Schizosaccharomyces pombe: one gene and its partner. The protein of the gene in region 1 interacts with the protein of each later gene in a pairwise test. Each region holds a gene or a part of one and is shown on either strand. Other genes may lie near its edges.

The links.
Region 2: the proteins of ecm31 (region 1) and rrp40 interact in a two-hybrid assay, tested with the Schizosaccharomyces pombe proteins (one large-scale study listed by BioGRID).

The regions. Positions count from the first base shown.
Region 1 is NC_003424.3:160,144-163,816, reverse strand, and holds ecm31 (3-methyl-2-oxobutanoatehydroxymethyltransferase), read left to right. Parts: upstream 1-2,000; 5' UTR 2,001-2,036; coding exon 2,037-2,840; downstream 2,841-3,673. Other genes in the region: SPOM_SPAC5H10.10 (NADPH dehydrogenase), read right to left, coding at 1-857; pan6 (pantoate-beta-alanine ligase), read left to right, coding at 2,872-3,673.
Region 2 is NC_003424.3:1,178,120-1,181,921, reverse strand, and holds rrp40 (exosome subunit Rrp40), read left to right. Parts: upstream 1-1,981; 5' UTR 1,982-1,990; coding exon 1,991-2,713; 3' UTR 2,714-3,066; downstream 3,067-3,802. Other genes in the region: SPOM_SPAC22A12.14C (BSD domain-containing protein), read left to right, coding at 1-693; mug84 (pig-P phosphatidylinositol N-acetylglucosaminyltransferase subunit), read right to left, coding at 1,081-1,668; dihydroxyacetone kinase Dak1, read right to left, coding at 3,115-3,802. UniProt on the Schizosaccharomyces pombe protein: Non-catalytic component of the RNA exosome complex which has 3'->5' exoribonuclease activity and participates in a multitude of cellular RNA processing and degradation events.

The DNA of each region.
Region 1 (3,673 bases):
ATAGCATGTAAATAGGCCAAATTAGGAAACCTCTCCTTTATTTTTTTTATCATAAACACGTGTGCCTCAAAAGAATCCTTGTCTTTCCAAATATCTGAAAACGGAGAAATCCTATATCCAACGCGCTCTTGACCTATGGCATTCACGACAGACTCTAGAAGTTCAAGGCAAAATCTAGCACGATTTTCTAAAGACCCACAATATTCCGGATCACATTTGTCACCATAGCCGTTTAGTACAAATTTGTCCAAAAGAAATCCATTCACTTGATGAACTTCAACACCATCTGCACCACAACCGAAAACAGCTCGTTTCGCTGCTTCAGTATACGTTGTGATGTGTTCCTGTATATCTTGTTTTGTCATAAATTTATCGACATACAGCTCCTCTCCACAAATAGAGTAGGCACTGCCTAGAGCAGCAGGCAATCCGGTAGGATCCATTGGGCATTCCCCTTGTGTAACTTTTTCCAACCTTTCCTGATCTTCAAGATAATCGACCTTTAGCTCTCCAGGAAGGTTCCAAAACTGTATAAACACAAAGCAATCATTGTCATGGATCGCCTGTACAATTGGTTTCCAAGCTTCTACATGTTCATCGTTGTACAAGCAAGGGATATTACTAAAGCCTCCCGACTTTGCGCCTGAAAATAATGATTCTGTAATGAGTAATGTGCCAGGAATCGAACTGCGTTGCTTGTAGTATTCCTTCACAAGATCTGTCATTACAAGGCCATTATCTAAGCATCGTAGACGGGTAGCCGGTGCGTGAACCATTCGATGTTGAAGTTGCATGTTACCAACCTTAATGGGCTGAAACAATTTACTCTGCGATTCATATAACTTTTGAACAGCCATCCTGGTGTGTATCAAAGAAAAGAGCAGACCTGATGGAGAATTTTGATCAAAAAAAATTTATTAGGTAGCGCTAAAGACGAAAATACCTTGAATATCAAAAGGAAAATAATAAAATTGAAAACTTCACAAAAGAAGTGAAGATCTTATAAATCTTTTTGTGTATGAAGTTTAGGAGGAATTGAAATAGATGAACGGACTTGTAGCCCTGTAGCAGAGTTACCACGTGCGTGGATCAATCAATAGGCATGCAGCCGCACCAATAGCACTACTATATTATTCGCAGGAGTGAGATTGGGAAATGATTAAAACAATTGGATTGATTGACCTTGAAGGAATACAGAAAAATCGAGAATGCGCCTAAATTTTTTCATTTACAGATACTTGTCAGCTTAGCCTTTTGTCAATGATCTCCAATATCGGTATTTCGCAGTTGTGTTTACCAACTGACGATTCATCATAAGAATTCAAATAATGAGTTTACAGACATGAAGCTGATCAACATATTTCTGTATGACTATGAAACACACTAGCACAATTCAAATAGAGGGATTATTGCAAAGTGGATTGATGCGAAAATACTCCAAAGTTGTTTCAAGCCGTTTTTTGGTATACAAACGGAAAATTAGCAATTTCAATGATTTTTGTACTTAAAAATGTTATACATTCGACATGAATATGAGTAACAAGAGAGCAGTAAAATAAGTTGCTTGTGTTACTAAACATTGATATCTTAAAAAATTTGCGAAAATAATGACTTTGTTTTAGGAACGACCACTATCAAATGGGATATCTATTCAAATATTAAAATAGTTGTTTTTAAACAGGTAGCTATTTTAGTTTGCGAATAAAAATCCGTTGCAATTGGACAAACGAATTTCAAAGGTTGTAATTCTTTGTAGGTTATATGAATCGTATGTAAATAAACCAGAGTAACCATGTATGTTAAATGCTTTAACTGGAGGATCACAGTGATTTTTACTTTTTCATAGACATATTCAAAGTATGTGAGCAAGAGGTTTCCTAAGCAAGAATTTCTCTTATAAGTATTATTATTTTTAAAGTAAAGAGTCCATTTTTTAATATGCATTACTTGTTTTTAACATATTAGAAAATATCTGGGTTGAATTGTGCTAGACTTGTTTTACAGACGTACCACCTTATGAAAAGGAATAACAAAAAATGTCATTAAAGCAAATAACTATATCCACTCTTCGTCAATGGAAACTAGCAAATAAAAAATTCGCTTGTATTACAGCATATGATGCCAGTTTTTCACGACTTTTCGCAGAACAGGGGATGCCTGTAATGCTCGTCGGTGACTCCCTTGGAATGACTGCTCAAGGTCATAGTACTACATTACCAGTGTCAGTAGAAGACATAGCATATCATACAAAAAGTGTTCGAAGAGGTGCCCCTAATCGCCTCTTGATGGCTGACCTTCCATTTATGAGTTACAGTACATGGGAGGATGCTTGTAAAAATGCGGCTACTGTAATGCGTGCAGGTGCAAATATAGTTAAAATAGAAGGAGGAGGGAATTGGATTTTTGAAATTGTACAAAGACTTACAGAACGATCAGTCCCTGTTGCTGGACACCTTGGCCTGACTCCTCAGTCTGTAAACATTTTTGGAGGTTATAAAATACAGGGTAGGGAACAGTCTGCAGCAGCACGCTTAATTGAAAATGCACAACAGTTGGAAAAGTTTGGTGCGCAGCTGCTCGTCTTAGAATGTATTCCAGAGTCACTAGCTGAACAAATCACTAAAACTATATCCATACCCACTATCGGGATAGGAGCCGGAAAGCATACTGATGGCCAAATACTTGTCATGCATGATGCTTTAGGAATTACTGGAGGCCGCCCACCCAAATTTGCTAAGAATTTTTTGTCCGGGGCTGGGGACATTCGCACGGCTATCCAACGTTACATCTACGAAGTAGAACAAGGTCTATACCCTGCTGAAGAACACAGTTTCCAATAAATAAAATACAAAATTTCTGGATATTTTGAGCATGCAGGTTCTTAAAGAGAAGCTCCTGATTCATCAGCAAGTAGATAATTGGCGAAAAGATGGAAATCGAATTGCTTTTGTTCCCACCATGGGAAATCTCCATGAAGGGCATTTTTCTCTAGTTCGTGAAGCCAAAAGACATGCCGAAAAGGTTGTTGTCAGTATTTTCGTAAATCCAATGCAATTCAATAATCCACAAGACCTACTCTTGTATCCTCGAACCATGGACCAAGATTGCTCTCAGCTGCAAAACCTGGGAGTCGATCTGGTTTATGCTCCAACTGTTGAGGAGTTATATCCGGAAGGGTCTCAAGACATTACTTTTGTCGACGTCCCTAAGCTGTCCACCATGCTTGAAGGTGCGAGTCGACCAGGCCATTTTCGTGGCGTTACTACAGTGGTTAGCAAGCTTTTTCACATCGTAAATCCGGACGTAGCCTGCTTTGGTGAAAAGGATTTTCAACAAGTAGCCATCATTAAAAAAATGGTCCGCGATTTGAATTTCTTTATTGAAATAATTCAAGTGCCAATTGTGCGCGCAGATGATGGACTTGCACTTAGTTCTCGAAATGGCTACTTAACTTCCGAAGAGAGAAAAATCGCTCCCAATTTATATAAAATTTTGAAAAAATTAGCCCAAGAGTTGAGTAATGGCAATGGCGACTTAGAGAAGTTGATTGCAGAAACTAATACTGAGCTATCACGTTGTAGATTCATTCCCGATCAACTGGAAATCTGTGACTCTACGACTTTAGAACCTTTTACTGCTGGCACAAAAAATGTCGTAATTTTGGCAGCTGCTT
Region 2 (3,802 bases), 1.0 Mb from region 1:
GAAGACGATGTATCGACTCCTACACACGAAGCCTCTTCGTCTGTTTTCTTAAATCGCCACGAGAGACAGTTGTTGGAACTTGTTCAAAACGAAAATACTTTTACCCAAATTATCTCTGAACCCTCTCATGGGATCACGTTTGAAAGCTGGGAAAAAGAAATTTCCATTGATGGGAAAACTGAAGAGATCTCTTTACTTTTGGAAGAATATCCTGATTTAAGGAAACAGATGGAATCTTTAGTACCTTCTGAAGTTTCTTATGATGATTTTTGGAAACGATTTTTTTGGCATAAAGAGGTTGTACAGCCGATAAAGGCAATTCAATCAGGAAACGATGAAGAAGAAATTTTTAGTTGGGGAGATGAAAGAAGTGATGAAGAAGAAAGTGACAATGAACAGGTTAATGATGAAAAAAAGCAATCAAGTGAAGAAGATACTACTGAGAATAATTCAGCAGCTGAAGTGATAGATGAAACCGTCAATGATTTGGAGTCAGCAGTTTCAAAAGGCTTACAAATTGAAACTCAACCCGCAAGCCATGATGGAGAGGTTGATGGAGAAGTTAAAGAAGAAGAGGAAAATAAAGTATCATCTTCCAGTAATATAGAAGCTTCTCAAAGTTCTCTTGAGGTGAAGGATGAAGCAAATAGAAAAGTTGATGACGATGATGAAGACGATGATGACTGGGAATAACGACTCTCGTCAAACTATTAAAAAGAGATATACTGTTTTTACTTCTCTTCTATTCATTTACTTGTTTTGGTGTGTTTTGTTCGTATAGCTAATTATTTGTCTGAAAACATTTTGTTTACGAACAACTCTTAGGTATATTATTAGCGGAATATAAAAAACATCTAATCTTGAGTATGCAGGTTGGAGTAGTAGGACTAGAGCATTAATCAACCTTCTTATAATATTATACATTTACATATACTTTTTGATTGTGAAACTTAAGGAAACCAGGATTTAAAAGTAAATCTGTATGGGTCGACGACATCAATAGATAATAAGTCCCTTAAATAATGAAGATTTTTAAGGAGAAAATGAATTCTGATATCACTTAGCTGCTTTTAGTCTTTTTTAAGTTTCTTCCAGTTGTTGTTTATTCACATCACATAGGCGAAGATCAACAACTCGACCATGAGCAGCACCATCTTCTTCACCAACGAGTGCGTATTGATCAACGATACATTCTAAGCTGCTAAATGGCTTAGTCAATACTTCGGTATTGTAAGCGTTTAGCACAACGTGAATGTAAATAACAAGAACAAATAACCAAGTAGGAATAGCTAGAGCCCACCAACGAGATAGATAATAATGAATCTCAAAAAATTTGAGAACAGGCGCAGGCGTCAGAGCCCAAACAATATACACGCCGAACCCCAACATTGACACCAAATACATCACGAACCCGTAATACTCATAAGTAGGAACTTTTACCATTATATCCCAATCTTGTTGATCAATTTCTGCAATGGCAGTTCCCTCTTCATCAGGCGTTGTAGACCTCGTTCGAAACATCGTAGTCAAAGATGGCGACGGTGGAACCAACATCGGATGTCCGTAAAACGGAGGATCAAAAACAGTAGTTTGCCTTACATCTTCTATCTCTCCTTCAGCAGAACCCTCTATCCCTTTTATGAACGTGGAATGATGAGTAAGTGTCATCCAAACATGTGTTTACTATGTGCATTTGTTAGATGAGAGCGCGTACTGAGATGATACAAATACAACTACGTCTGCTTACGATGTGATTAAATTCGATATCCCTATTAACGACATACATACAGAAAATCCTCGTAAACAGCATTATAGCACAATGTACGTTTGCGTTATTTTTCACAGTCTGGGCTAATGTGATTTATAAAATTAACGAGATTTACAGTATTAGTTTAGACACACTTACCGTCCAAGACATTAATCCTCGAATTATAGTGTATAACTCGCGAAAAATCAAACCCCAAATAGCTAATTTTCTTCTGTTAACCAAATGGCTGAAGTTGAAGAAAAAGGTCTGTTATCTTATTACTTTCCTGGTGAGCGGATACCAGACTCCATAATTAGTCAGGATGGATCAATTCGTTTAGGTCCTGGTTTAGTCTTTCAAAAGAAAGACCGTGAAGAAGAAATAGTGGTCTCAAAAGCTGGGAGGTTGCATCAAACTGGAAAAAATGCTATGTTGATAGACTCACGGACAAAAAGATATATTCCTGCTACAAATGATCAAGTTATTGGGCAAATTATTTCTAGATTTGCGGAAGGTTATCGAGTAGATATTGGGTCAGCTCATATTGCTCAATTGAATGCATTGGCTTTTGAAAATGTGACTCGTAAAAGTAGGCCCAATTTAAATGTTGGAAGCCTTGTGTATGCTCGAGTATCACTCGCTGATCGTGATATGGAACCGGAGTTAGAATGTTTCGATGCTACCACAGGGAAAGCTGCAGGATATGGTGAACTTAAAAACGGTTATATGATAACAGGTTTATCTTTATCTCATTGTAGGAAGTTGATCCTTCCTAAAAATACACTTTTACAGACCCTAGGAAGCTACATTCCTTTCGAAATTGCTGTTGGAATGAATGGTCGCGTTTGGGTCAATTCTGAAAATCTTTCTACTACGGTCCTCATTTGTACAGCTATCAGAAATTGCGAATTCATGTCTGATGAAGAGCAAATAAAGTACTGTAAAGACCTTATTAAAAAGCTCTAACGAGATTCAGAAAAAAAAATTTGAATAATATGCACAGTCTATTTAACAATTCTTGTCCAATTGGGTTTAATTCAAAAATGGTTTGCCCTTATCTAGGAGGGACCATTTCTGAATAAAGTGTATTGTTTCTTCTTTAATGCCTGTGTCTAATATTCCCATACAATTTCTGTCGTTCTTTTATTTATTACAGCAGCGTGTTCATACAATATCTACACTCGTCCTTTCTCAACTGTTTTAATTAAAAAATTACTTATTATAATGCATGAATATACAAATACAGATGCAAAGATAAGTAAGCAATAATTAATGCATGCATAATGAAAATATAATTGTTATTCGTGCTCGTAAATAGTTTTTAAGATCATACCAATTCTACAATCCCAAAAAAATTTCGTATCCAATTATTTCGTAAATCCTTCGACAATTGCAACGACACCAAGAGCGCCGGCATCGGGAACTTTAACATCATCACCAACGTAGACAGCACGTCCAAGTTTGGCTTGCATATCTGCAGTAGCATCAGCACCTTTACGAGCCTCCTCTACGGCAGCATTAAGATCATTAGTTTTAACAAATGTTTCGACAAATGGAACAAGAGCATCACACATAGTGCTGTCACCAGGACGAGCGGGAGTATACTTGAAAAGAGTATCAAGAGCAACCTTCAAACCAGCAGCCCATGTCTTAGATGAAATGTCCTTGCTCTTCTCCAAGGTGTCTTTCATGCCCTTCGCAAAGCCATGGAAGAAAATGGCGTACAAAGCACCAGATGTACCATCCATATTGTCTTCAATAACATCTGCGATATCACGAACAATACGAATAGGATCGTCAGAGAATTTGTCGGATTTAACAAACTTCAAAACACCTTCAGCACCACGCTTCAAAGTAGTACCACAGTCACCATCACCAGCCATCGTATCGAACTTTGTAATTTTAGGCTCTGCTTTGATGAGATTCTCCATCGAATTGACAATCGCCTGACGAACCTTCTCCTTATCGACAGTAACGGGAGACTTGACATCCTTCTGACCCTCCTCGATGCTGACATTGCCAATCTTGTTTTTGGACTTCAAGTCAGAGGGTTGA